4 linked regions of the Oreochromis niloticus genome follow. The protein of the gene in region 1 binds, or shares a complex with, the protein of each later gene. Links are inferred from orthologs where the notes say so. Each region holds a gene or a part of one and is shown in the gene's direction. Other genes may lie near its edges.

What was found.
Region 2: smc5 (region 1) and nsmce4a share a complex: the UniProt entries of both Homo sapiens proteins name them as parts of the SMC5-SMC6 complex. The link is inferred for Oreochromis niloticus from reciprocal best matches to the Homo sapiens genes SMC5 and NSMCE4A.
Region 3: smc5 (region 1) and nsmce2 share a complex: the UniProt entries of both Homo sapiens proteins name them as parts of the SMC5-SMC6 complex. The link is inferred for Oreochromis niloticus from reciprocal best matches to the Homo sapiens genes SMC5 and NSMCE2.
Region 4: smc5 (region 1) and ndnl2 share a complex: the UniProt entries of both Homo sapiens proteins name them as parts of the SMC5-SMC6 complex. The link is inferred for Oreochromis niloticus from reciprocal best matches to the Homo sapiens genes SMC5 and NSMCE3.

The regions. Positions count from the first base shown.
Region 1 is NC_031984.2:20,747,963-20,754,851, forward strand, and holds the start of smc5 (structural maintenance of chromosomes protein 5), read left to right. Parts: upstream 1-3,874; 5' UTR 3,875-3,969; coding exon 3,970-4,136; intron 4,137-5,231; coding exon 5,232-5,373; intron 5,374-5,685; coding exon 5,686-5,738; intron 5,739-5,953; coding exon 5,954-6,116; intron 6,117-6,206; coding exon 6,207-6,341; intron 6,342-6,462; coding exon 6,463-6,603; intron 6,604-6,704; coding exon 6,705-6,866; intron 6,867-6,889. UniProt on the Homo sapiens protein: Core component of the SMC5-SMC6 complex, a complex involved in repair of DNA double-strand breaks by homologous recombination.
Region 2 is NC_031978.2:22,361,972-22,369,525, reverse strand, and holds the start of nsmce4a (non-structural maintenance of chromosomes element 4 homolog A), read left to right. Parts: upstream 1-4,532; 5' UTR 4,533-4,569; coding exon 4,570-4,730; intron 4,731-4,794; coding exon of another isoform or gene 4,795-4,819; coding exon 4,820-5,046; intron 5,047-5,138; coding exon 5,139-5,219; intron 5,220-5,303; coding exon 5,304-5,434; intron 5,435-6,372; coding exon 6,373-6,518; intron 6,519-7,554. UniProt on the Homo sapiens protein: Component of the SMC5-SMC6 complex, a complex involved in DNA double-strand breaks by homologous recombination. The complex may promote sister chromatid homologous recombination by recruiting the SMC1-SMC3 cohesin complex to double-strand breaks.
Region 3 is NC_031976.2:11,176,939-11,184,929, forward strand, and holds the start of nsmce2 (E3 SUMO-protein ligase NSE2), read left to right. Parts: upstream 1-4,976; 5' UTR 4,977-5,275; coding exon 5,276-5,390; intron 5,391-5,917; exon of another isoform or gene 5,918-5,932; coding exon of another isoform or gene 5,933-5,987; intron 5,988-6,081; coding exon 6,082-6,194; intron 6,195-6,820; coding exon 6,821-6,974; intron 6,975-7,839; coding exon 7,840-7,931; intron 7,932-7,991. Other genes in the region: washc5 (WASH complex subunit 5), read left to right, coding at 1-26, 395-535, 1,074-1,154, 1,284-1,385, 1,551-1,730, 1,878-2,002, 2,150-2,312, 2,486-2,588 and 7 more. UniProt on the Homo sapiens protein: E3 SUMO-protein ligase component of the SMC5-SMC6 complex, a complex involved in DNA double-strand break repair by homologous recombination. Is not be required for the stability of the complex.
Region 4 is NC_031984.2:1,639,413-1,646,498, forward strand, and holds the start of ndnl2 (necdin-like 2), read left to right. Parts: upstream 1-4,077; 5' UTR 4,078-4,189; exon of another isoform or gene 4,190-4,215; intron 4,216-5,276; 5' UTR 5,277-5,289; coding exon 5,290-5,337; intron 5,338-6,968; coding exon 6,969-7,086. Other genes in the region: si:dkey-150i13.2 (mitochondrial carnitine/acylcarnitine carrier protein), read right to left, coding at 1-97, 279-365, 1,178-1,279. UniProt on the Homo sapiens protein: Component of the SMC5-SMC6 complex, a complex involved in repair of DNA double-strand breaks by homologous recombination. The complex may promote sister chromatid homologous recombination by recruiting the SMC1-SMC3 cohesin complex to double-strand breaks.

The DNA.
Region 1 (6,889 bases):
TACTAAAAAACAAGACTGACTAAAAGCTTTATTCAGGTTAGACTTATGATGATACACACATACAGCACACTGCATGTATTTAAGTGTGTATCAGTGTATGTATAGTCACAGCACAGTCTTTTCTTAATGAGTTCTGAGGAAACAAACACTTCCACATACTGTATCTATTTCTGTGTTTCAGCTTACAAATACCCTACAAAACAAGTTATTTTGTATTTATTTATTATTGTTAGGTCCATTATAGTTATGTTAAATGTATCTGTGGCATAAACACTAAACAAGAACAAGAATGGATTGTAGATTATTCTTGTTCTATAAATAAAAGCTGAAATGTCATCTGGTGAGGTTTAGTCTACATACTTTACATTTTATCTATCTATCTATATGTATATATGTATGTATATATATATATATATATATATATATATATATATATATATATATATATATATATAGTCCAGCATATATCTATATATATATATATATATATATATATATGTAAGTTTCCATACATAGATTACTATATATTATATTTTAAAATAAATCTTTATTCTTATTATTATAAGTTTACAAACAGCATAATATTCTGCTGGCTCATAAAGACACAGAATTTGCCAAAGGGAACAGTTAGAAAGTATTCTATTACATAACATAATATAAGACCAACAAAAACTTCCACAGGAAGTTTCTGACAATTTTTCTCTATTCAGGAGTGTAAGATTAACTGGAGGAAGTAAGAAAATGCAAGAACAAAATGAAATATATTTTAAACTTATTTTACATAACTCTCTCTCTCTCTCTCTCTCTCTCTCTCTCTCGCTCTCTTTTTACCATTATTTGCTTTTACCATGGTAAAAGCAAATAATGGTAAAAGGAAGTAATTTATGGGATCAACCATCCAAAGCAACAGACATTGCACAAGAGAGGTGAAGAAGAGAGTGCAGGGAGGGTTGAGTGTTGGGGATTTCTGACAGAAGTAGAGCACAGTGAGTGAAAGGGAAGGTTTGCAAGATGGTAGTGAGAGAAGATCATGGGACTAACAAAAACACAGGAGGCCCAGTTGATAATGTTAAGGTTTTCACTGAGAGTGATCAGGATGGAAAGGATTAGAAATAAATAACGTCAGTGGGACAACTCAGGCTGAGAGCTTTGGAAACAATTTTAGAGATGGTTTGGGCAGGGATAATGGATGAAAGACAAAAGATGATGAATATAGAGCTGGCAGGCAGGAGGAAAAGAGGAAGACCTCTGATAAGATTCGTGGATGTAGTGAAGGAGGGTATGCAGAGGGGTGGTGTAACACAGTAGGATTCTAGGGGCAGTGTAAGAGGGAGGCAGGTGATCTGCTGTGGTGATCCCAGAAGAAGATGAAGACCTTTTAACACTTAAAAAGCTTTACCTACATTTGAATTAATTCAATGAAATATATTTGGGGATTTGGGTGATGGTTTTATAATTTTGTTTTATGTATATTGTGTTACTACTGGTGGCCACGTGATGTCGCTAAATAATCAATAATCGTCGGAGTCGATGTCCCATAATCCCATGCGGCTTTTGGCTTTAAACCGGAAGCGGAAGCTCCGTGTTCCTCATAGTTTGAATGGCTTGTGAATGAGTAGTCGAGTGTTTGAGTGAGTGAGTGAGTGCGTGAATGATGTGTGACTGTGTCGTGTCTGTGTTTATTTTAAAAACCTACACACTGATCTTATTTGATCCGGTCTGAGGTGGCTCTGCTCTGACCGGAGATGATAGGAAACGCGCTCGCGAGCCTTCGTGGCGATGTGCAGCCGGCAGAAACTTTCAGGGCCTCCACGCTCCGTGCCGTGGTTAGAGGTGATGAATTGATCAGATATACTAGCTCTGTGAGAGTTTGAGTTCATCTCAAGCTTCGCAGTGGTCAATGAGTACAGAGGCGATTCTGATCTAACCACAGCAGGAGGAACCGTGGAGGAACACGACCTAAAGAAACGGCTGCTCGTCACATACTGCTTATTTTAACGGTTAAGACAAGCTGTGGAAATACCAGGAAAGCTAGGCTTACGAAACGCTAGTTTTCCTGGTAAAAACAAAAACAGTTAGACGTGTTAGTCCTAAAGTTGCTTCTTCAGTCAAAAGCAGTTTTTCTCCCTTAAAGCGACCGATTCAAAGGGAAAGGGGGACAGTGGGAACAGAGCTATACCGGATTAATTCAATCAAGTAATGAAGATCATTTAAGGGCTGACTTCTGTTGTATTTATTTTCAAAGATTGACTGTACAAGCTTTAATTGTTTTTCCAAAAATAAAAAAACGAGCTTGGCTTTAAAATATTTACATTTACGGCGAAACAAGGTTACTAGCAAAATGTTGGAAAATTTTCCAATGTAGCTCTTTTACTTTATGTAGGTGAGTGTCTGAGATATAACTCTTAATTTTGATTACTCGTTCCATTTCAAAGTCTTTAGGAATAAAATACCTTTTAACCTTATTTGGAAAATAGTGTTTCAGTAACGCCTCCAACAAGTTTATTGGAAACTCTTCTGGCACAGAAATCAGTGCCTTGAATATGGAGCTGTCTCAGGCCAGCGAGGAAACCTCACCTGGGGCCTCCAGGAGTCTCATTAACCTTTAGGTTTCATTAATATCCCCACATATAAACTAAATATGATAAATCTGCTCTAGTTATCATCCAACGAATAAAGTGACAAAACACAATTGCCGTTTTGTGTATTTATTTTCTTTATAAAATACTGTCTTTCTCTGTGCATAGTTCTTTAACCCCGAATCAGCACTATGACCTCCTTTAAAGTGCATTTTAGTTTACCACTAATTAAATTGCATTAGTTTTGTGTTAAGTGGTTGCTCTGACCAGTTTAACTGCCTTGACATTTCTGTTTTTGACCTGTGGAGATGTTAATTTGAAAAAGCCCATTAGGCACTTTTCGAATTTTCAAAATGTTCCACTTTGGCTACAATTTGTATTTTAGGACTAAATGAATTTCACAGCTTTTACTCTTATATCAAATGATTTTGAATGTAAGTAAGTCAAATTATAACTTGAAAATTTCTTCAGAGCTTCTTTGTTTTTAGTACAAGATAATTAAGAGAGCAAATGTTTACTTTTGTCTCAATGGTCTCATGACACTTGTAGCTGCACAGTGCGATGGAGGTTTAGCGCTTACTTTTTTACCACTTTGATAGTGGCACATAACTAGGTTCAGACATTCATCTGGTGTCATTTTATTCTCATCTGTTTCACTAATTTCATGTCCTTGGTGTGAAAACTCTTTAATCCGTAGCTCAGCTGTCATGTTGGCATTCTCATCCATTCATGGAGCCTTTCAAAGACATTGGGTGAAAGGTGGTGCACTCCATGGGTAGAGTAAGCATCATACCATCATGCCAAAAGCCACTTCAGAATCACCAATTAACCAAACAAGCGTGTTTTTGTATTGGTTCAAATCTATAACCCTTTTAACACTTTTTTTTTTTAAACTCTCACCTGTATGAGTTCGCACTAATCCATCATACTAATCCTCCCTGGACCAGTATCAGTTTGCATTTCAGGGGAAACTAGTCAACATAGATACACATAGATACATAGATAGGTATAATAGGGTATAATAACATTTAGAACTCCCTATAACTGAACTGCGAACTTCATTAGAAATCTTTCGTATTAACGCTAACACAACATGCATCACCTGCACGTGTTAAATTATATTTTCGAGTATTTTCTACTTTCCTTTTATTTTCTAATATAGTATGTTATCACTTGGAAATCAAACATTTTAGGTGCATGCTGTACGTTTGTCATCGTATGGGTAAAATTCATATCTCGCGATAGCTTTGGCGCTGTGGTCGCCTTTGTGTATACACGTGATCTTTTTGGTCCAACCGGCTTTCAGCAGCAACTGGGCAAAGCGCGCGAGGTGTCTGTCCGTGTGCGTGAACGTGCATGGTTGTCTTGTGGGTTCCCTTTTGGGGTCACCATGGCCGAACCCAGCAAACGACAGAGGCTCAGTCACATTAACAGCAGCTCACAAACTTCGAGTAAAAGCTTATCGAGCATTTTCACGGACAGTCAGGACGAAGGACTCGAGGGGGAGGGTCGATATGTGGAGGGATCCATACTTCGGATCACCATGAAGAACTTCCTGTAAGTTGCTGCTCCTCAGTTGTCATCGGTCAACGTCTGTAAACTGAAACTGCCGGAACACCCCGATTTACCTGCTGATAGCTACAGCCAGATGACCTAGATAGCATATATGCTAACATTTGCCACCAGTATGCGATTAAAAGTTAAACCCTGGGCTCTGTAAACACGAGCAGGTCGTAGACCCACTGAGGGAAGCTGCTGCAGACCGACTATATGGTCCAGCAGCTACAGTTAAGTCCAAATGAGGTATTTTAGTGAGCTAACTGTACGATTTAAGGGGTCACATTCAAGGCGGGTGTTAAAATAGACTCGATATATTAAAGAAGGGGTTCCTCATGATGACTCATTATGTTTCCATTGCTTTCTACTTCAAGGGGGGCGAGAATCACAAGCAGCTCTAGCTTAAAGCAAAGTGCCAAATCCAGCCAGTCAATAAAAATCCTGTACCTTCAGTCTTATAAATTCTGTATAAAAAAACAGGACTTCAAACGTCTGGCAGTGGAGCTTAACAGCGAGTTGCATACATCCCCTTTTTTCAGTCTGTTTCTAAACCATGTTCACACTCACAGATGATAAGTAGCGGTAGATGATAACCTGTTCAGAGCTTCTTTTCCACTCAGAAAACTAACCAAGAGTCAGTTACTGGTATAAATTCTCATCTTACTGTCATCCATACCTGCCTCTAAGTTTTTTAATGAAAATTATGGCAGACTAAGTAAACATTCATTGTTATACAGACTATTCTACATTTATTAACTAGTTAATCTGTAATACATATTTGCATTATTGTCAACTTGCCTCCAAAATTGCAGTAACTGTGCAGGGATAAGAGTGGTTGTAAATAGGTATTTCACTTTGAGTCTGCCTGTCACAAATGTTTAAGCAGTATGAGCAGATGAACAGGTACTGTATGTATGAAACTTCAGGTCTCACTAACAGACAGCCATTTGAAGTGTAAGATAGCAGTATTGCCACTTTTACGTTACTACGTTCATTTGTACTGTTAGTGTAGATTGCAATGATTTTAGGCGAGATGGAGCATCTTTACTCTAAAACACTGCAGGAAACCCCTGATTGTCTACCTTGTACTCACAGGACGTACGACTACTCTGTGGTGTATCCTGGACCTAATCTGAACATGATTGTCGGGGCCAATGGTACTGGAAAGTCCAGCATTGTGTGTGCCATCTGTCTGTGTCTGGCTGGCAAGACAGCTGTTCTTGGCAGAGGTGATAAGGTAAGCCACAGAGCAATACAAGTCATTGATTGATGCACTCCAAAGTTATTTCGGATTTGTTTTCTTTTCAAAAGATCAGAAAATAAACACAATGTTAGCAGACTGGTAAACAAGCTGTAGGTGGTGATAAGCATACCTCTATGAAAATCTTTCATTGCCCTTTTGCAGTACATGTACTGTTGTTTCTCATCTCCCTGCCCCTTTATCAGTCAAAATATGATACTTTGAATTGAGCTCACATAGCAGATACTGCATTTGTTGATGATGATGATGATAATTATTGAATGTTACTTTGTTTTGTTTTTTTTAAAGGTTGGGCTCTATGTCAAGCGTGGTTGCAAAAAAGGCCATGTTGAAATTGAACTGTAAGTTATGTGAAATACATTCCACACGCTGCATTACTCTTTACATGTTTTCAGAAATTCTTCATGAATCTTTTCAGACAAGAAGTTTGAATTCTGAACCCTCATCTTTTCAAAAATGAAAGGAAAATTTGTCAGAAGTTGTTACATCACCTGCATTATCATGTTCAGCATAGTTATATGACTCTAAATGCTACACTTTGTTTTTGTTTTTGAAGGTACAAAAGAGGTGGTAACGTAGTGATTTTTAGAGAGATACATGCGGAGAACAATCAGTCTCTGTGGATGTTGAATGATCGGCAGTGCAGCCAGAAGGCGGTGGAAGAGGAAGTCAAAGCTCTGCGCATCCAAGTCAGCAACCTCTGTCAGTTTCTACCTCAGGTATGTTTATGCCACTGCAACATAAAGCTGCATAGATGCAGCAATATGTAGTTTTATCCCTGTTTTATTGGCTTTTTTTTCCCCATGCAGGAAAAAGTTGGCGAGTTTGCCAAGATGTCCAAAATTGAGTTGCTGGAAGCAACTGAGAAGTCAGTGGGCCCACCAGAGATGTATGAATACCACTGTGAGCTCAAAAACTTCCGCAACAAAGAACGAGAACTGGAGGTAAGCTCAAAGCTAGTGATCCAACAGGCAAAGTTTGATGTTCATTCATTCCTGTTTGTTTTTTAAGTTGTCCTCCTCTTAAAGACATGTAAAGGCGACATGGCTCTTTGCTTCTTTGTAGAACATTGTGAAGGAGAAAGCAAGCTTCCTGGAGAAAGCCAAGCAGCGAAATGAAAGGAATAAACACGATGTAAACCGTTACTACGAAAAAAAGAGGCATCTGGATGTAATCGAGTTGCTCGAGAAGAAGAAACCATGGGTGGTGAGTGGTCTAGTGTAAACAAGAGAAATGAGCACAGTACACATGTGGAGAGAGAAACTGAATTAATTGTGTAAGCTGTTTCTGTTTCCTTGTGATATTAGGAGTACGAGACCACACGTAAGGAACTTGAGGGTGTGAAGAAGGAGCGTGACGAGGCGAAAAAGCAGCTTTTAAGCCTAAAGCAGACCCAGGCGCCCATGGTGAAGAAGATCCAACAGATTGAGGAGCAGCTGAAGCCAACTGAGGCACAGATAAAGGCTAAGGTGACAAATCAAAGGCTGGTACT
Region 2 (7,554 bases), on another chromosome or scaffold:
GCACTCTGGTGGAGTTACTTTCTTTGTGTGTGTGTGTGTTTACAAGTAGGTTTAAACCTTGTGATCCACAAAACAGCATAACAGTAAAAGAAGAACTGACTGTGTTACAGTCAGTGCGGGAGCAGCGGCTTCGCTCATGCGCGATTCATTTGCAGTTTGGACACATACTGTAGGTGTGAACATCTACTACCCTGATAGCAGCAGCGCGAGGACTATCCTTTGCCTGTGAGCGCTTTGGCACGGGCGAGGTGCCCACGGCAGCACCCGGTGCTTGTTGAGAGTAGGAGCGATACGCGCTTTCATGTCAAAAAGTCATCATAAATAAGTCTCCAATAACACCAGAAAAAGTCGCCAGATTTGTCGCTAGTCGCTTTTTAGAAAAAAAAGTCGCTAAGGGGGTCTGAAAACTCGCTAAATATAGCGACAAAGTCGCTAAGTTGGCAACACTGCCTTGCCCACGTTTCTCCCTGCCCATAGTCTCTCTCATACAAAGCGGTGGGGTGACCTCTACTGGCCACTCTAAAAAACTACAGGTGAAACTAACAACTGAACAGAATAAAACCATAACCACGGGGCCTTTTGTACAGTAGTTGTTGATAGTCTTGCATAACAGCTGTAGGTCCACAAGTTTTGTCATTAAAATACAGTCAGGGTAAAAACAGCGTACATTCTGTACCACATAATCAGGACATAATAAAAACGATCTAGCCTGTACCAGGTCAAAAAAAGTCCATAAACACAATCTGAGGTGAACAAGAACAACTCATTAAATATATTATACCTTGTCTTTATTTATTTATTTAGCAAAAATAAAGCAGAAATGTAGAAGCAGCACGTGAAAAACTATAAATATGCTCCCACGAGTCAACAGCTTGTCAAAGCAGCAACAACTCGATATAAATGTTTTGTTTGTTTGTTTGTTTGTTTTCCTTTTTTGGTCTCAGTCTCTCGAGGGGTTACGAAGGAATTTTGCCCACTTCCACTGAAAGAGGAAACGTTACCGTTTAAGTCTGCATTCACAAAGAAATCCCCTCAGATCGAGTTTTATATAAAACTTATACTTTTAAAGTCACAATTTAATTCTTTTTTAAAGAAAGGACAATAATAATCTGATTTTCATTTGTGACATTTTGAATTGAAATCATATTTTTTTGTCATTTAAAGCACCTTGAGGCAACTGGTGTTGTGATTTGGCGCTGTATAAATAAAATTGAAATGAATTGAAGACTTGAGACGTCTGAATGATCTTGCAGAAATAGTGGTGCTATTTTCCAACAGAGTGGACCTAGAGCTGTTATGCAAGACTATCAACAACTACTGTACAAAAGGCCCCGTGGTTATGGTTTTATTCTGTTCAGTTGTTAGTTTCACCTGTAGTTTTTTAGAGTGGCCAGTAGAGGTCACCCCACCGCTCAGTAGACTGGGATTTCATAGCTGTTGGCGAAACAATGTGAGGAAGAGCCCAAAAACTGTGGAGGTAGAGTTTCCCCAACTGTTCACGGTTGTTGTCTGGATTATGAAGTGAAAGAAATAATAATAGTTCGCATAAACAATAAGAGGACAGGACATCACAGATAGTAAAATCCCATTTTGATGCCACTGTCATCTGTGTGAACCATGTTGGTGTGTTGTTTTATGGAGTTTCAACAGCAGCTCCACCTCTATGATAGTTCGATTGAAGTGATCTGAGGCCATTAAAATGAACCCTGTGTTATACACAAGCAACTCAACTAAAAAAGTCATTATATATGTTGTGGATAGGCATAGCTTTGGGTCACGTGGTGTCGGTAATAGTAGTAGTGATTGCTATATCACCTGTTCACGGCTCGAGGGAATTTTTGTGAATGAGTGGGTGATGGGGGAAGTCGACTTTTGCTAACCGCTCAAGCCTAGAATGTTTTGATCACTGTTTTTCTATAGATTTTAAGGATTTGATAACAAATGAAGGAGTTTTTAACCTGGAACTTTGAACAGCGGGCGCGTCAACATTATTCCCCTATTCAGCTGCTCGGCGACTCAAAGGCTTGACAGTCGCCAACAATATTTATTATGCCATGTCTTTAAGTATTTATTTATTTACCAACAATAAAGCATAAATGTAGAAGCAGCATGTGAAAAATTATAAATATGCTCCCACGATTCAACAGCTTGTCAACGCAGCATGTAAATGATGTTTGCCTCAGTCTCTCAAGTCGTTTTGGCACACTGAAAGAGGAAAAGTTAGGCTTTATGCCTGCAAAACTTGTACTTTTTAAGTAACTATTGAACTTTTAAAAAAAGAACGAAAACTAATAATATACTTTATTTTCTTTATTGTACACAAGTCACACGTCTGGATACCGACAGCGATGTCTTAAGACAGATATGTTCACTATTATTAGCGCACCATCTGCCGGTGAGCTCCTGCCTAGTCTGCTGAAGTTAGTTTCATATTTGACTAAAGAAACTGCATTGATTGGTTGTTTCACAGTAAACAAAAAAGTTGACTTTGGATTAATAATCTATGGTTAAAAAAAAAAAAAAAAAAAAATTATACACAAACGTCGTTATTTTAAAACTCGCCCTATTTTCACTGCCTTTCAGAGAGAATGAAAGGCAGTGAAAAAAAATATACATACATACACATATATATATATATATATATAGAGAGAGAGAGAGAGAGAGAGAGAGAGAGAGAGAGAGAGAGAGAGCGCGATGGATGAGCAGTGGATTTGCAGCATATAATTCAGCAGCAGACACAACTCTTTTGAAGTTAGACTTCATTCAGTATCAGGCACTAAGACTCTGCACAGATGCATTTAAAACAACCCCAACAGCAGCGTTACAGGTAGAGATGGGTGAGATGCCACTTGGAAGCAGAAGACAACAACTAACACTTAATTACTGGGAAAATCCACAGGGCCATGGACAGGATCACCCAACACAACCTTGCTGGGAGAAAGAAAGGTGGGTAACAAAGAGCTTTGGATGGACTTTAGGTAGAAGAGCAATAGAACTTAAATTGGACCAGTTCAAGATCAGTCAAAGATTGGCGTTACCAGCAATGCCTCGATCGATACTTTCTGATGCCACCGGGGATTTCACATTATTTGAAAAGAAGAATAGGGATGGGGCATTTAATTTAAACTCACACACAGTAGAAGCTTACATTGACCAGCATTATAATTATGTTTAAATATATACAGATGCATCAAAGAATACAGCCAGTCAAATTGGTGTAGCATTTGTTGTCCCAGAGTTCAAGGTCAAAATAGGTAAAAGGATCAATGATGGAGTGTCAGTATACACTGGAGAAATGCTAGCAATACTGTTAGCTGTTCAATGGGTAAGACATGAGACCGTTAAAAACAGCCATTTGTTCAGACTCAAGCTCGTCATTGGTCAGTTTACAGTGTAGCCACTCAGAACGTAGAGCAGATATCCTAACAGAGGTTCAGCAGACACTTTCTATAATACACATGATGGGACTTAAAGTTGTGTTTCTATGGAGTAAAAGCCAATGAATTGGCAGCTAGAGCTGCGAAGGAAGCCACAAAACATGGGGTAGTTGACCTGGGCATTAGCTTCGGTCAGACAGAGATTGGACGAGTATTGGAGTATTGAAGAGTATTGGACGGCAAGAAATGAAAAAAAGACACCAGAAACAGTGGGAGTAGGAAAGGAGGGGACGGTGTTTGTACAAAATTCAAAGGAGGGTAGGAAAAATGAGGAGGTGGTCATATCGAGAACAAGATTTGGACATGCTGGACTACACTATTCATGATAAGGAAACATAAAACAGGGAAATGTGACTACTGTGGAGAAGGGGAAACGATAGAACATGTCATCTTACACTGTCAGAAGTGCAGGTGGAGAGAAGATAACTGACCCAAAACCTCAGTAAGATAAAAATGAAACTAGATCTTATTTATTTCCTGCAAAAGGACTCTAGAAGTAAAAGTTATCAGGTCTTATTCCAGTTTTCAAAAGAGGGTAAAGAGGTGTTTGGGAGGATTTGAGTTGGGGGGTTTTTTAAGCGACGTTCCAGTCAACACTCCATACCAGTTGGTGGCGGTAATGCACCCTTCAGTTGTTTGCCAACCGCCAAAAAAATTTAGAAGAAGAAGGAATCCAAACTATCTTCGTTCATGACGACTTCTCTGACATCCAATTGGCGCGCCTTGTGTACGTTTGCCTCACAGGTACGTTGAAGCAATTATAATAAAAACTGCGCACGGGTGGATTAGTGACACTCACAACAGGCTGTGTATTTGCTTTTAACCAAGACTTTATTTGGCCGTGGCAGTCAAACGTCCAACAGTTGAGCTAAGCTAAGCGGCTATTGCTTTTGTTAGCTAACGTCGGCTAACGTTGAACATCAAAGATGTACACGAGTAAGGCGAGATATGTAACTGTGCAGGACTTCCGCGTTCGCGTTTGCAGGCACGAGAGGGTTCTGTTTTGTTATCTGACCTGTTAGAGCTAACATGACATAGTAGTCGTTTTCCAAAAGCAACTGTATGGTAAAATTTGCTAATCTGCATTTTATATTATATTTGGGCTGGGTTTACCACGTGTAAGCACTAGCATATGCGGATTTATATCTTGATTTTTTTGTGTCTTTGGCTAAAATTGGAGAAAACCCGTGTGGCTACGTTAGATATATGTACTAATAAAACACCGAGCATCTTGACAACCGAAGCCGTAAACAGACCGTTTCTGTACCCTGTCTCCAAGACTTATTTTAGAAGGTAATAAATAGCCCTGTTCATCGATAGAAACGCGCTTTGTTTATGTTTATTTGATTTCCGTCAGCCTGCTTCCCTTTCACAAAACACAGCCGAACTAGTGCGAGAGTGAAGATGAAGAGATCCAAAGGCGGTGGTGACGAGGAAGCTCCCCGGCAGAATGGCTCAGCGAGCCGAAGGAAAGCAGACCAGCAGCAAAGTGACGGGGACGAGGGTGGCAGTGACATCGGCCCAGCCGACCTGCAAGACGACGACAATGACCAGGGCCTGAGGAGAGAAATCAGGAGCAAATACAGAGACCTCATCAGCTCAGTGCAACGTGAGTGGCAGGTTTGGGGATTGCCAAAGTTGTTGATTTGTATGTATTCCAAACAAATCCTTGATGTTTGTTCTTCTTGTTTTGTTTTTCAGAGAACAGGGAAGATATGCTGAGCCCATCAAACAACAAACTAACAGAGGTTTTAGAGGAAGCAAACAAACTTTTTAAAGATGGTAGGTCTGATACATGCAAATGAATAACAGGCCAGCAGATCAATCATTTAGACCTTACAGTTTTTTGGGGGGTTTTGGTGGCAGTTCGACAGGCGAGAGAAGCAGCCCTGGATGCACAGCTCCTTGTTGTGGCTACAGACCTGGGGAAGGAGAAAGCCAGCCAGCTGTTCTCCGAGGGAACCGCTTTCGATCCCACTGCTTTTGCTGAGCATCTCGTGAGTATGATTACTGTATCATGTCTGTCCTTCAGTCACCTTGCATGAGTGGTCCATACAGACCTTGCAGTATTTCTGTCTGGATTTGCAACTCGAGCTGCACATGCTTTTGTTTTACCTTAAGTTATGTATGGTTAAAAAAAGGCAAGGAGGGCAAAACAAAGCTGACAGTAGTTTGTTTAGTGGACTCATTTGATGGCCAGACACAAACCCCAGTAATCATGAAATGTTAAATATGTGTCTGTAGGGCTGTGCGATATGACGAAATATATCGGATGATAAAATGAAAACATCTATCGTTTCATATTATACGCTATCATTTGTTTCGTGGTGTCACAAAATACACTGTTTATGGCAATATTTTTTTCGTTGTTTGGATGGTCATCGTGTGGATGCAGGCACAGAGAATACCAGCAGAAAGAGTATGGAGAGAGTTTACGGATGAGAAGCAAAAAAAAGAGCTGTCAGGTGCTCAAAATAAACCTTAGACTCAAACATTAGAACAGGCTTTTACCCGCAGCACGGCATGTAATAAATACAAAGGAAATTGCAGCCGTTACAACTTATATCTAAAAATATGTAGTTTAATGCATTGGTCCAAACACTCGACTCCAGCTGAAAACACTTCACACAAGTCGAGTTGCCCGAGATTCACAGAATTTACAGAAAATGCACTATTTTGTCATATATATCATCGGGATGAGAAATGTCTTATATCGGGATATGAGTTTCTGGTCATATGGCACAGCCCCTATGTTTCTTTATGATAACGCGTTAGCTATAGCAGCTTTGTACTAGTTTTTTTTTCCTGTTCATTTAAGTGAATAATACAGACACAAATGCTAATAAATGTAGGAAAATGTGCTTTTTTTTAAACACAACTTTCAAAGCATCACATACTGCAGTGGTCATGTGGCGATGTCTATGTTTCTCTACAGTTGTCGTTCATGGGTTTGAACCGACTAGAAGATGATGAAGACGAGCAGCAGACCACTGCTAATGGCTACCTGCCGCAGGATGCCTGGCACCGATTGGCCAGGAGAGCAGAGTGCTGCTTTAGGACAGCCCCCTCTTTCCACTACATGTGAGTGATTTAGAAAGTCTGTTTACTAGCTGGGACCGCAGTGCCAGGGTTTTTGCCTGCCAACTAAAAATAGACTGATGTTCTGTGAAGAAGCAAATTAATAAGACGGAAGCTTTCTTGGGACAAGCACACGTGGTCTTCTGCCAGTCCATAAAAGTAGAATAAGTGGTTCCAGATTAGCTGCCAGTAATCAAAGCATCCTTGAACAGCCCTGTGCCTTTTCCTACAAACTTTTCATTTCTCTTAATTCTTTTTCTTTGAAATTATTAAGCACAGGAAGGATGTAAAGTAGAAAGATTTGGGAAAGGACAACCACAGTCCTAAGGGTATCTGTTTGCACTTACACTAGGCTACTTAGTAATGTAAGGCTGAGGGCTGCTGTGCCGAAACTACAATATTCTGAGATAGAACTACAAAAAACAAGTCTTAGACACGTCTTTGCACTTTGCATCCCTACCATGTTGTGCAATTCTTGGTAAATGTGGACAAACAGGAGCAAAATATGACAACTTGAAAGACAACTTGTGCAACTGGGTTACAGTTAAGCTTTAACTCCAGTTTGACCATTTTAATGTGTCTGCTTGTTTATTTGCGAGCAGTTTTCTAAACCCACTTTGCATAGTTTGCCACAAGATAACACCTAGGGGTGGGCAATGTAGCCTCAAAACTTGGTTTTGAAACTCCAGCAACATGTGTAGTATAAAAAACACTTTATTACTTGACCAGCGTCTTCCTGGGATGATGATGATATTAGACTCACAATATTGTTACATGTTGAGCACTTCATAAAGTTGGCATGTTGGGATGTTGTACCTTGGTCAGGCTTTGCTATAGTTTATACTGGGATAATATACTTGGCCAAAGAATATGTAAAGACTTGAGTCATTTTCATCCACTGTTTGCTCCTCCTGTCACATGGAGTGCACCTAACAAGTGCTCGAGTGATGCCAGGTTGTGTCGTTTGCTGTCATAGCCTGGGTATACTCAACTTTGTACTTTTGTCTTAAACAAAACAAGTTTATTGTTTCTACCTTTA
Region 3 (7,991 bases), on another chromosome or scaffold:
GAGAGTTGGTGTCCTATGTGAGAAAGGTAGTGTATGATGTCATTTTTTTTCTGCTTCTCTTTCCTCTTACAAAAGCTTCTGCTTTGAAATGTTTTGGTCTAATATTCTCTTAGTGTGTAGTCTCATAATTTTAACAAATGAGCTCTGCGTGCTGCAAACCGTTTTTCAGTATCAGTGCTGTAGCAGCTGCAGGAATGATGAATTTTTGAGAAACAATCTGTTTGGCAAATGTACCCACTAAGAAGTGCTTAGTGCATCTGTACCTTGACGTTGTGGCAACTTCTGAGCTATAACTTTATGCTGGAAGATTTTTTCCTTCTGGCTATACTTGAGATCCTTGACCTAATGGATATACAATAAACAGTCCTTTTTTTTAAAATCGTCTTGCTTCCAGGTGCTGCAAATTATCCCAGAGAGCATGTTCACTTCGCTAGCCAAAATAATCAAGCTTCAGATCCACGACATTATGGAGGTGCCCACACGGCTGGATAAGGACAAGCTAAAGGACTACGCCCAACTGACGGCTCGCTATGAAGTGAGACAAACTGTTGTGTATGAAACTGTCTCCTTCCCCTTGAGTTATGTTCAGAATGTCACTGACGTAAAGAAAAGGGAAAAAATATCTTCAGATGTTGTATAAAATAAAATAATAAAAAAAAATAGATAAGAGAGCTCATTTTGTTCTGTTTTGATCTCGCCTCATCAGCTGTATGGGAGTCGGAGGCAATCATGCTAACATTTTTCAATCTGCTCACAGCTTTTGATGTGAAATACAAATTGGAAAAGGAAGCGTGATATGGAAACAGATTGTGCCAGCAGACTTAGTTGAATTGGATTAATTAGAGTGTGAAGTACTGAAGTTACTTTTTAATTTTTTTTTCAGTCATATTTGGAATTGCAGTCCAGTGCCTTGAAATTAAAATAAGATCATTGTAGAATGGAACTTTTTTTGTTTTTTAAACTGAAAATCAATCAAAACATTGGCTTTTATATCAATGATTGACATCAATATTATTCATATATATATTATATTTTTGCATGCCTAAACATCGTTCTGTTCTGTGTCTTTGCAGGTGGCAAAACTAACTCATGACATATCTATTTTCACTGAGGGCATTTTAATGATGAAGACTACTCTCGTTGGGATTATCAAGGTAAATACAGTGATTAAGGTTTCTGAAATTTGAGAACAAAGATTTCTGTCTTTCAGAAGATTAAAACAATCCTGCTGAGGGATTTGGTGCAGTACAGGTTTGCTTTATTAACACACTGTGATGTTTAAGGTGGATCCTAAGCAGCTTCTGGAGGATGGCATCAGGAAGGAGCTGGTGAAGAGGGTGGCTTATGCATTGCACAGAGGCTTAATCTTCAATCCAAAGGCAAAGGTGAGACACTACACCTGCTGTATATTATGGATTTTTAATCTTCAGTTAAAGTTTGTAATATATATTCTGTATGTTGACCAGTTTCCATGTTAAGTTTCCCAATGATATTGAAGGATTAACAGCAGTAAAATAAAATAAAAGAGAAAAAATACTCAACTCTTTCAGCCCAGTGAACTGATGCCCAAGTTGAAGGAGATGGGCGCCACCATGGATGGCTTCTACAGGTCGTTTGAATACATCCAGGACTACGTCAGCATTTATGGCCTTAAAATCTGGCAGGAGGAAGTGTCCCGCATCGTCAACTATAATGTGGAACAGGAGTGCAACAGTTTTCTCAGAACCAAGGTCAAACTTAACACGCTTTCTCCTTTTCCCTGAGTAGTGCACTGAGAGCAGTTTGTCCCTGACTGATAGATAAGAAGTGTTCTAGTTGTTTGGCTGTTTCTCAGTAATAGCAGTTGGCTGATTGGCTTGTTTCTTGCTTCTCTTCAGATCCAGGACTGGCAGAGTGTGCACCAGTCCACCCACATTCCTATTCCCAAGTTTCCCTCTGTGGATGAGTCTGCCACCTTCATCGGTCGTCTCTGCAGAGAAATCCTCCGAATCACTGATCCCAAGTATGTCTCATCGGACATAACAGTGGAAGTGAAATAAGAGTTAGTGAAATTAGCAGAATAACTGAGTTTATATCTGAGGATGGAGGAGAAAAAAAATCTTTGGTTATGCAGTTTATTGATGGTGGAATACACTGGTTCTTCCTATAGGTTGACATGTTACATTGACCAGATGAACACCTGGTATGACCTGAAGAGCCACCAGGAGGTGACTAACAACAGATTGTTCTCTGAGATCCAGAACACCCTGGGTACATTTGGCCTTAACGGACTGGACCGCCTGCTCTGCTTCATGATTGTCAAGGAACTTCAGGTATTTACCCCAATATTTACCTCAGTATCCCCCCAAATTGCACCCCACCCCCCAAAAAGATGCCATTCAGGTCAACAAAGATAAAACCCTGAAATCATGTCAATCTTGGCAGTGTCTTTAGTGCATGTGGTATGGCTCCCAGATTGTAGTGATGTATGTGTTTGTCTCATCAGAACTTCCTGACAATACTTCAGAAGACCATCCTGAAGGACAAAGCTGTGGTGGAGGTCTTCAGAACATTGCAAGGTGCCGTCAGTCCAGTCCAAGGCATTGTGGGTAGGTATTCACTTAGAGAATCTATAACCTGCCTTTTCTTGTACAGATCTCATTATTGTTTTTGTTGCTGTAGCAAATGCCAGCAAAGTCTACAGCAGTGCTGTGGCCAAATCCCAGAAGATCTGGGGTACATATCAGGAAGCCATCATGAAGGTACTGCTCCATGTTCTCATGTTAATGAATAGAAAATAAAAGTAAAAAATTGTCACAATTTTCTGATGAAAATAATAAAATAATAATAAAATAATTTTGAATGCATATGTTTATTGAAGGTTGGTCAGATGCAGATTCTCAGACAGCAGATCGCTAATGAGCTTAACTACTCCTGCAAGTTTGACTCCAAACACCTGGCGGCTGCACTGGAAAACCTCAACAAGTCTGTATATTCTTGCCATAATGCCACTGAGTCGTTGTTTATATGTTTCCATTACTTACCCCCAAGTGCTACTCTGTGTTAATGACTTTTGTGATGGATGCTTCTGCTAATTGCATCATGTCTGTTTTAGTCTCACACTGTTCTTTTATGCTCACTCTGATTATGTTCTTGCCAGGTCTCTGCTGGCAGACATTGAGGCCCATTACCAGGACCCATCCCTGCCTTATCCTAAAGAGGACAACACTCTTTTGTACGATATCACTGCCTACCTGGAGGCTGCTGGCATTCACAATCCTCTCAACAAGGTTTGAACAGAAGGGGCATCTCTTCCCACATAATCAGTTAGTCTTGTTCTGATTTCACCTGAATCGAAATGAGTCTTTTCAATGACGACCACAAATGTAAGCTGTTTTTTGCTTTCTTTGGCTATACATTAGCAGATGTTCGTGTTCAGACTCTTTTTGTTCTACTTATGCTTCACACAGATCTACATCACTACAAAGCGCCTCCCGTACTTCCCCATCATCAACTTCCTCTTTATTATTGCTCAGCTGCCTAAACTTCAGTACAACAAAAACCAAGGTGATTTTTTCCCCCATTAGTTTTTTGTTTGAAGTTGATCAGAGATCAGGTTACACAGTTTTGAGTACAATGGGTCAGTCCTTGCCGCCTCTTCACTTACTTCAGTTGCAGCAGACTTTATTATTTTTCAGAAAGCGGCATTAAATATTATGGATTTGTTTTTCCCCACATTTTTCTGCTAACGCACAGTCCCTGAATGTCTCTGAATGTGGTTTTAATTTGATGTTTTGTCTTATGGTAGGAATGACCTGCAGGAAAGCAACAGACCCGGTCGACTGGCCTCCACTGGTGCTCGGCTTGCTCACCCTGCTCAAGCAGTTCCACTCCAGATACACACAACAGTTCCTGGCTCTCATTGGTCAATTCATCCGCTCAATCATGGAGCAGTGCACAAGGTAGCAAAACAGACTTCACAACTTCAGAAAGATTTCTAAAATAAGATTCGAAATCAAATATTCTGTGTGGTAGGTTTCCTTGGTGATGATTGCGGATTGTGTTACCGGACATAAAATGTATCTGGTTATAGCCTCATGAAATCATATTAAAGCTTCCGTTTGATCCTGTTATAGTCAGAAAATCCCTGACATGCCTTCTGATGTGGTGGGAGCTCTGATGTTCCTTGAAGACTACGTGAAGTACACAAAACTGTCACGTAAGGTAGGTGCAACTTTCCCTATATTATTTGTATTAGTGTTTGAAAATATTTTAAGTGGTTGTAAATGATAAGAGTTGACAAAGTTGACAGTACCCAGGGGTAGTAGTAGAGCTGAAATGTTGAAACATCAATATGCTTAGGAGCATTATTATTGGACAGCCAGATTTAATACCCATCAGCTATGGGAACAGATTTTAAAATACTATTTTTTGCATCTGTACTGTACTATATTTGTGTAACAGTAACATGTATTTCCTTGTGTTTTCTGTGTTTTTAAGGTGGCGGAAGCTCATGTGCCCAGTTATATTTTTGATGAGTTCAGGACAATACTGTGAAGATATGGATGAAGATTTTCATTTAAACATTCGGGTTTTTTGCCGAATGTTTTTCCACTGCAGACATTTTGTCTCAATGTAGTGACTGCACAGGTGTTACTAATAATTAACAACTGATTTGTTAGGTTTAAGTGCTCCAGCAAGCGTGACCACAGGTATTAATACTATTTTATTATTATTCACTGTGCCTATTCTACAGTGATATGTCAAATGTGGGGCCTTTTGATTTGTTTACTTACATTTCATTGTGCTAACTATCAGTGTCTTGCACTTACAGATTGTAAATTAAAAGAACATTAAAATGCAAATAAATCACTCTTACAACTTTATGTACTAAGATTCTGTGCCATTTATAAATGAAATGGATTAATAAATACGTTTCTTTCTATTAAAGAAGCAGTTTTGTTTTCCTTCCGTTTAAACATATTTTGTTAAAGCTTTTACTTTGAAAAACCATACCCGGAAGTTAGAAGTTAGCTTCTGTTGTGGCTCCGTTTTAGCGGGTGATTTGTGTGCGTTTGTATAGCATCCACAGTTTCTATAGTTTATTTACGTTTCGCTTGTTATTTTTATACTAAAAGCATTACTGAAACAGATTGTACTTGACGTTCATGTAGGTGTCGGTCATTTTGCCGGCAGAACTAGATACCTGTTAGCAAGCTAGGCTAACGTTATCGTTAATAGCACATTAAATTTAGCTCTGGTTTGTAGTCCCAAAGTAATAAAGGTAGCTTTCACAATGTCTCTGAGCGCTGTTCACGGAACTCTGTCGAGTCTGAAATCCTGTCAGGCTGACATCGGGACAGGTATGGACATTGTGACAGACGTGGCTATGGACCTGGCGGAAGCTCAGGGTAAATATTAAAGATTTTCTAAAAAAGCTCACCAACTCCATCTATAATCACTACATTATTTATAAACGTTAAAATATATCTGGTAAGCGAATAATTAATGTTTTTGGGTGCTTTAGATTTGTTTTTAAGGTTTATAACTAATTTTGGAGCGTACATTTAAAGTACTTTGCAAAAGACTTGGGCTACCCATCATTGGCTAAAAAGGAGCCAGACCTTCGTAATGTTTTCAAAATAGTCTTGTGCAGCAGTTCTTTGGGCTTTCTGGAAATGTTGCAAGGATTTTCCTTGGACATTGACTGCTTTTTTATTGACCATTTTTTAGGAATGTTTTTCATTCTTTGTTAAGCCATTGAACACGGACCTATGAATCACTTTAATATTAAAAAACAGAATGCACCTACCTCAAGGAACCCAGTGGCATGTCTACATATATTAAATAACTTAGCAAAGAACTGATTTTAAGTTGTATCATTAGGCACTTTGTGTTTTTGCGACAGGCGGCTAGTAACATTTTTTTTTTTTTTTAGTTGAATCTATGAAGAATGCCAGAGATAACACAATTGGACAGACATTACATAGGATTTTTGCACAAACAAGGTGATTCCCAAAGAGCTGCTAGCTGTTTGTGTGCGTGTGTGTTATGGTGTGACTGCTCAAGTGAATACTTCTTTGGTGTGCTTTTATGTTAAAGATGACGAGATGAACCCGGGCATCAAAGAGATGGAGGCCATGATTCTGGAGTGTGCCAAGCTGGACAGGGAGATTAACTACTTTGTTGATGTGGTGCAACAAGTCACAGCTGAGGTGAGAACAGCCTGAAGGTTTCCTTGCATTAGGCGACAGAGATAACGGATATTACAACAGTGTGCTTAAACTTTGTTCATTGTATAGAAAGTTTTGATGCACCATTTGTAGTGTAGACCCATCAGGTGATCCCTACTTGACTCAAGAGGAACATGTCATTATTGTCTTTAAATAATCATTGCATTGTTAATGCTGCTATTTCTGCATAAAGTGAGAGCTGTACATTAGAGCTCTTAAATGTGACACAGTTATAAACATAATGACTCATAATGGAGTCAATATAAAAGTCAGTTTAGTGACATTTTTTCAGCACTTAAATATTTTCAGTGATAATGGGGAATAGAGCAGAAAGTGTGCCATGGGACCACAACACACACACATTGTTCAGCGGCATCTGATTCTGCCTTTACTAACATACAGCTCAGCAGGTTAGATCACATCGTCAGGAATGGCTGAACATAATCTTGTGCAGAGTGCAGCATAGGTCACCATGGTGACGTAGCCGATGAGTTGGAAAACTCTTAACACTATGTTCAGAAGAAGACGCAAACCTTGGGCATTTGTGAAGCATTTCTGAATTAAATACAAATTATTGCAAATTATATAACACATTTCAATCACTGTAGGTTACCACTCAACAGCCGGAGGCTATGTTCAGCCTGTCTGCCAAAGTGAAGGAGCAGTTCACAGAGAGAATAGCCCGACTCTCTGATGCTGACCTGCACACTCACCAGAAAGTAATGGCTTTCAAGGAAAGTGTCAAAAACTCTTTCAAACAAGGTAAGGCCTGTGGAGAGACGGGAGAGATTTACTTGAATTAGACTCACCGCAGTGCATTCAGGACTTCTAATGGACTTTGATAATAGCAGTGCTATCGGAGGACTTCTTGCTGAGCAGAGAGATCTTGGGATGTGCCTTTTTTAGGATAATTAGCTTCATTTTAAAACACGCAGCTTCCTTTGTTTACCGTTGAATGATTGTTTCCCTGTCACCCTGTGGCTGTTATTTTCTGCTTTTTAACTCTTACTAATTACAGCTATGCCGGCCTCATATAGTGCCATGCTTTTGTGAGTCTCTGTAGGAATTATAGGCTACATTATGCTAAGTATAATGTTATTTTCACGAGCTGACTCAAAATGAAAATGTCTGAAAAAAGAGCCAAATGTGAGAACTTACTTTGAAGCATGAACTTTGTGAGCCGAGGTGATCATTGCAGTGTATTCTGTGAGGGCTTAGCCCATTGAACACCATTATTATTCACTGAATTAGTATTACTTCATGTTCCTGTTAAGGGATACATTTTGAGGTTTCAGATCTGCTTGCTTAAAGGCTGAAATATAAATATGTTGAATAGCATAATCATATGGAGAAGTTTACAAAGGCCACATATAGAGAGCAGTTTTTAATACTTTGGGCTCAAGTTAGCCTTTGAGTTCTTCAGTAGTTGTAGATGTGCCAGGACAACAACTGTAGATATGAAATTTATTTGCAGACTAAAAAAAAAAAGATGTTGTGTATAAAGTTGGGGTGTGCATGTGTGTGCAGTAAACGTTGGTGGATGGTGGTACGTACTATCAAGTTGATTAATTTTTTTACTCTGAGTGGACAAATGGAAGCAAACTGCATGTGCATTGTTTGTTTTTAGCTAACCAGGAGTCAGCAGAGAGCATGGAGGAGCTCGATGAGGACATCGCTGTGACACAGAGTCAAGTCAACTTCACCTGCCCACTCACACAGGTAGATTACTGATTAGATTTGTAGATTACAGGTAGATTAATCCAGTGTGTTTTCATGCCT
Region 4 (7,086 bases), about 19 Mb from region 1:
GCTGTTTTCCAAGACCAAACCCAAAGAAACTGATGGCCATCATAGGAGCCACACCTGCCAGGGGAGCCCCCATACCTTTATAGAGACCAAGGATGCCCTGACACACACACACACACACACACACACACACACACACACACACACACAAGATTTTAAATGAGTTTCTAGTTTTTATTGAAGTGTCTGTACTTCAGTTGATGTGTCACATGTTGAAAACAGAGCTGACTATTGGCTCTGGTCTGTGTGACTGTCCGCTGTAATAAGCAGAAAGCGCTCACCTCTTTGGATACGGTCTTGCGTAAGCAGTCATACGTTCCTGTGTAGAGCACATACTGAGCGGCTTTGGGCTGTGTTTGTAGTCTCACCTGAAACACACAGTTTAAATAAGAAGAATTACACACACACACACACACACACACACACACACACAGGAGGATTGCTGAGTGCTGTCAGACAGGAGGAGACACCCACTAACATCTGCTGCTCTGTCACCGATAAACAGGGCGGTGTTGCGCTCATGTGACGGTTACTGTGATGATGATGTGATCAAACTGTATCTTCACAAAGACTCAGTGTGTCGCACACAAACACACTGACGTGGTTTAGATAGATTAGAAAAAGATCTGGATTAAAAATAACGTACATGTTGTAACGATATGTTTCTGCACATTCAAAGTTACTATATGTGAATAATAAAGTTACACAAATCATTTGCAGTTATTACTTAAAAAAACTAAGTTATAAGTTTGTTTGTTTGTTTTTTAAAAAGGTGAAAATGCTATAGTGAGAATAATGAGACGTTTCCAGCTAATTGTTGTGATGTGTTCAATAAATGTGATGCTTCATGGCATTACTTTGTTTTATGTCATAAATCTGATTTTAACTTCGTGAGTTTGAGCTGCACACTTTGTACCCACGCTGTGACATTTCCTCGACAGTCTCCCGCAGGCTCTGAGCAGCCTCATTATTCCGTGTTCAGGTGGCCGCCTCGGCAACAGTTTAAGCTGATTTGTCGGTAATCTCTTCAGCACCTACACGATCTCTGACATTTCCTGTGACTTCCTCAGAAACATTAAACACCTGAGAACCCCCCCACACGGACACACGTGGACTGAATGTTTGTGTCTAAAGATCTAAATAAGCTGCGTTGAAGCTCGGCTGGGGCTGCAGCTCTCACCTTGATGGTGTCCAGTGGGTGTCCGGCCAGCAGCAGACACGCTCCTCCGACACCCCCAGCCACGAAGTTCTTGAACGGAGACACTCTGGGCTTTTCCTCCATCCCGCTGACCCCGCATGGCCCGAGCACACAGCCGGGGAACCTCACCACCTCACACCGCCGCTGTCCCGGGAGGGGAGTGTGCGACTGTCAGCTGTCTGTCTGTGGGTCTGTCTGTGTGTGTCTAAGTGTGTCTCTCCGTGGACTTTGTCTCTCAGAGCTGAGCGGAAACGAGAAGAACAGTTTTTTCCTGTAAATAATTTATCTTCACAGTCACCCCTTCACATGTCCATAAACTCTTTGCTTTAGTCATATGGCGCACTTTAAACCACTGCGTTTTATATTTTTGTAGTTCATAAAAATCTGCCGCAGGTGTATTCACAGGTGAGGTTGAAACAGGGGAGACAGCGCCCTCTGGTGTTCACAGGACGAAAGATTTGATTTCTTAATAATGTCCAAAGTAAAAATACTACACTGCAATAGTACACCTGAGGGTCCTTCACTGCTGAAAGGACTTCCTTACCTCTGCTGAGGAGGTTCTGCTTTCGGCAGTGTTTGCGTGTCATCCCATCTGAAAACACGAGAGTTTTGAATAAATTCAGATCAAACTTTGCAGGGTTGCAGATGGCGTCATGTTAACCGTCCATTGAAATTCAGCTTCCATCCACCAGCGTCTTCAAGGTCATCTTCAGGAGTTATTGGTGGAAAATGGCCAAAAGAAACTATGATTCCCAAAAGTGTGGTATGTATCATCAAGATCTACAAAGTAACATAAAACATATAAAATACGCCACATTTGACGTCTCCTTCAAGGTCAGTGGATCGAGCTGAAGGTCAAAATGATGATAATGCTGTATAGGGCTATTTTAAACTTCTCATTCACATTGTTTATATTGACAACAATAACAAGGAAGTGGATAAAAATAGGGAATCATATATGGGGATTGTAAATATTGTGGTACTTTGGACCTCTGACCTCTTATTCAAGGTCAAATAACATCAAACTTTGACAAAACGTCTTTTATCTTTAAAACTGTGCTTAAGATTCTGCTTGTTTGTTCGTACTGGCTACATGAAGGAAAGGATACTGGTATATGGGGATTCTCACATCATAGTTGCATCCTAATAGCTGGACACTCTGGTGACAGTGGCAGAGAAAAGGACATTAAAGAAACTGATGGACATTATGGACAATGCTGGGCATCCTCTGCACACAGCCATAAACAACCAGAGGAGTCTGTTCAGTGACAGGTTGCTTCTCCCAAAATCAAGAACCAACAGACTTAAAAACTCCTTTGTCCCACACGCCATCAGACTGTTTAACTCCTCTCTGGAGGGGAGAGGGAGGGGAAACAGGAGGACAAGGGAGGGGGGAACAACTAAGCTGCAGTGCCTCTTCACTTCACTGTGCAATACTTTTTGCTAATATCCAACGGTGCAATAGACTTCAATACTTGAAATGTGCAATTCCCTTGTATTCTTATTCCTATTTATTCTATTTATCCCTTTCATATATTTTATTTAAATATGTCTGTATTTATATATGTGTATATATAGTATTCTGCTCACGTTCTGTAACTTCTGTCGGTGCTGTGCTATTGGAAACCGAATTTCCCAGAGGAACCCACCCAAGGGATTAATAAAGTTTTATCTAATCTAATCTATCTATCTAATATTGTCTTACATTTGACCTCTGACCTCACTTTTACATTTCTGCCTTTATTGATCCTAAAATGTGTTCAATCTTTAAGGAAAGTATTTTCAAGAGGAAGAGAGAGAGAGCTCTATTATTATATAATAACCTCAAGTTATTCATATCCGGTTGTTTACAAAGTTATCCACTCTTACATGTTTATAGAAAAATAGAATATTATTCCCTTAACAGTAAGTACTGCCCAGAGAGCGAGATGCCTCGGTGGATGTTTGTGCTTCTTGTTCACACGTTAATTACTGTGACTTGCATATTTTCCTATAAAATCATTTATTCAATAAAACTCTAAAATCTCATGTAGCACATTGTTTAGCCTAAATAAACAGTCTAAGATGACAATTAAAAATGGTGATGAATTAAAAGTACATACAGTATTTTACTTTTGAAACTGTTCAAATCCAGAATTTCTAAGATTGAAACACTTTTTTTTCAGCAATTTTTATGTTCTCGAATATCAGACTGGTGCAACAATAAACATGGGACTTTAAATATAATTTTTAAAAGTAATAATAATGGAAATTATTTTCCTCATCCAGAGGATGACATGGAGGTATTCATAGTCGGATGAAAGGGTCTGTAGCTTCGTCTTCAGTATGGACAGTTACATTTATCTCATACAGAGGCTGGTACACTTTCCAATGGAATACCGAGAAGACTTTTTAACTTATTATAAAAAGTTTTATTATAAGTTAATAATCTCATTTCAAAATTACACATGTGCTCTTCCTACCAATCACAGAAGCTAACAGCCGACGAAAAGTCAACAGGTGCAGAGGTCTGAAAAAATATATCAATTTAACTAAATGAAGTATGAAGCTCATCTTGGATTTCTGTTAGTTTCATTTTAAATATGCTAGTCTGTAGAATAAATTCCAGTAGTTCCTCACGTGGGTCCTCCTGTGCAATGAATTTAATCATAAGTTATATCAATGTGATTATTTATGTCTTTATCAAACGTTCATATTTCTGTTCATTGGTAATTATGCAAATTAGTCCCTTTTTACACGTAAACTAATGAACATTATTATTCTGGTGAATTTGTAAAATAAAAATAATTTTCTCGATATAATAAACCTTCAAACTGTCACAGGGAAAAAATAAATAAAATCAATCAATTTATATTTAATTAATGACTGAAACCAACGACATTTCTGTCGAATGAAACGGAAAGGAAAAGCGGCAAGTGCAAATGACGTCATCAGCAGGCGCCTACAAGCCCCATTAGCGGGAATTTGACCGTTTGGAACCGGTGGAGGATCAAAGTGAGTCATCTTCTAAAACATACAGAGTATGTGAATCTTCTGTTAGCCACGCTGTATCCCGGGAACTCCGGGTGAAGTATTTTAGGGCACGTAGTTAGCAACGCTCTCTGCTCTGCTTTTCGCGTAAACGATCTGTGGCCACTTCCGGGTTGTTGTTTTTGTTCAGCCTGTAGACTTTCTCGTTTAAAACGCGCCGAAACACACAGAGAAACACACACACACACACACACACACACACACGCGGTGTAGCTACGGTGATCAGGTCCCAACAAAGTGAATGTGGGGTAAACACTGTGTTTGTGTGGGACAGGTCAGCGCTGAGTCTGAAATTTCAGATCTAACTAGGTTTGCTCGCTTACAAAGAAATGAACAAACTGATTTTTACAGTAGTTTGATTTTAATGGAGTGAGACGGAACAGCCAATCACGGAGGCTGAAACATGCTGTGGGCTGCTTTCCTGCAGAGGGTACAGGATGACCTCAACCATATTTCAACCAATAACATTCAAATTATGTTATAACTTTTATGTAATGGTTTTTTTGGGAAGGGGGGTGGGTGATTCTCTTTCTATTAAAATAAAACTGCCATAAAAATTAGACTGTTTGTTTCTTTGTAGGAGAGCAAACTTATAAATTTAGGAATGAGGTCAAATAATTCTTTCCTCCTTTGTAAATACATCATGGCCTTAAATACTCCTGTATTGTGTTTGGCTTCACTGTTATTTCAGTTGCTCTTCTGTCTGGTGACAGTTCCTCTGTTCCAGTTGGGATGTATCCCTGAATCACAAACCTTCTTCAAGACACATCTGACAGTTTTACCATTTTTAATCCAGTGATGATGCACATGCTGTATCACCTCACACCATAATTTCCTGCAAAGCTGCAAACAGAATGACCTTTGGTGACAGGCTGATCATCTTCAGATAATGATAAACCGCCTCCCCTTCGTGTATGTGAAAGTCAGACTTTAGAAAAGTGCATGTACTGCAGAACCATTCGAGATGTGGCGCAGGGGGCCAGGAAGAAAAATACTGTGCAGTCCAACCTAAAGAGGGACATCTGTTCACCCTACCTGTCTCCTTTATCAGGCGGTGTGTCGCCATGACGCAGAGGAAAAGACCGTCCAGCACACAGAGCTCCTCTCAGAGAGTAAGTCCTTCATTTCTACCACAGAAGAAATCCTTTTCACTCCGAGTGTCTGCAGTGTTACAGTAATGAGAAGCGCTAGAGTAAAGTGGTGAACTCGAGACCACGTCCAGATCAAAACCACTGCAGCTGGAAAACAGTGACCCACGCAGGACAAAAGATTCAAACTGTGAATCTTTTTTCCTGCATGGAAGAAATATTCACAGGAGTAGTTTGATAAATAATTACCACTGTAACTACTGTTTAAAAAAAAAAAAAAAAACTGAAGCCAAACTAATATTACATCCACTCCACGTGTCCCAATTGTAGGCGCTTCAGCATCATGGGATATAGAGTTTGATTTAAGTGCAGTAATTTAATGTCTGTGACGCAGAGGGACAGAAGCAAGCTCCGGCTCTCTGGATGTTTGCTCTGGAAAATGTTTTGCATGGTTTCCATAAACAAAGGCTGACAAACATCAGAGATGCCACGAGCAGAAACCGCTGAAGCAGCTGGACGAACAGGCCGGTCCCTGATGGCGGTGAGGTAGTCTGAATGTCACTTTAATGGAAACCCTTCCACATCTTCAGCGGGGTACCTCAGGGTCATCGGCACTTCGTCGAAGTCAGGGGTCTCAAACTTGCTGGCACTGTCATCTCACTTTAGTGTTCAAATAGTACAAAACAACCAAACAAACAAGAAGAAAACACAAACAAATATTTCCAAAAGTGTAGCATTTTGTTTGTTTTTTATTTTTTATTCCAATTTTGTATAACAAGACAAAACTGCAAACTAACTGAAGATTTCATTGAACTACCAAATAAACACACCAGTCCTCTATTTCTGGACAGACACACTTTGTTCGTATGTAACAAAATACAAACACAGACACAAATGTTCACATTAGTTTGTGACTCTCACTGAACTAACACAGCCGATCCCTCAGCATGTTTGTGCTCTCTGCTCATATCACCTTCATGTTAAATCATTAGAAAAATGTATTTTAACATTGCACTCAACAACAAACAAATCCTCCCTAACAGAAAAAGTCACTTTAAGGGCCAAACTGTGTTATATTTCTTGACATCAATATACGGGCTGCGACTTTGAGGTCTAAGCGTAGCAGCAAAGCCAAGATTTTGACCTGTGGAGGGTTCCGGCTGCGAGCTCAGACCAACCATAACCATCCTGAACTGGTTTCGGCTGCTGGATCTCTCTTCCCAGTGATTTTTTTTTAAAGTTGCGTGTGCTCCAAGCCGATCTTCTGAAAGAAACAGGGCACTGACGTTGTCGGGAAATTTTTTCATAGCAAAGGAGGCTGAGTGTGAATGTAGCGTCACTGCCACCTCGTCTCAGACTGATGCAGTCAGATGCTTGGGGCAGCATGGAGGCCAGGAGCTCATTGATTGCTGCTCCTTCTCTTTGAGACCTAGTAGCTTTGATTGGTTGGACTTGATGGTTTTTGGCGTTGACCCTCTGGAGGTCTGTCCGTTTGGCGATTATTGCAAGAACCCTATCGTGTCTCCATCTTCTCCCAGAGCTTTTGCACAGCCAGCCTATAAAAGTCAAAGTTACCGTACAGAAAAGAAAGCAGAATCTGAGGGTTTCAGTGAGTTTCATGGAGACTGATTTCAGACAACATTTTTCCCACACAGAGACACACCGGCAACTTGGTGGCTCAGGACGAGGATGATGACGTGGCCTTCACTCAGCCGAGTACATCACAGGTGCAGAGAGGGCTGGAGAAGCTCACACCTGCACAGGTCGACCAAA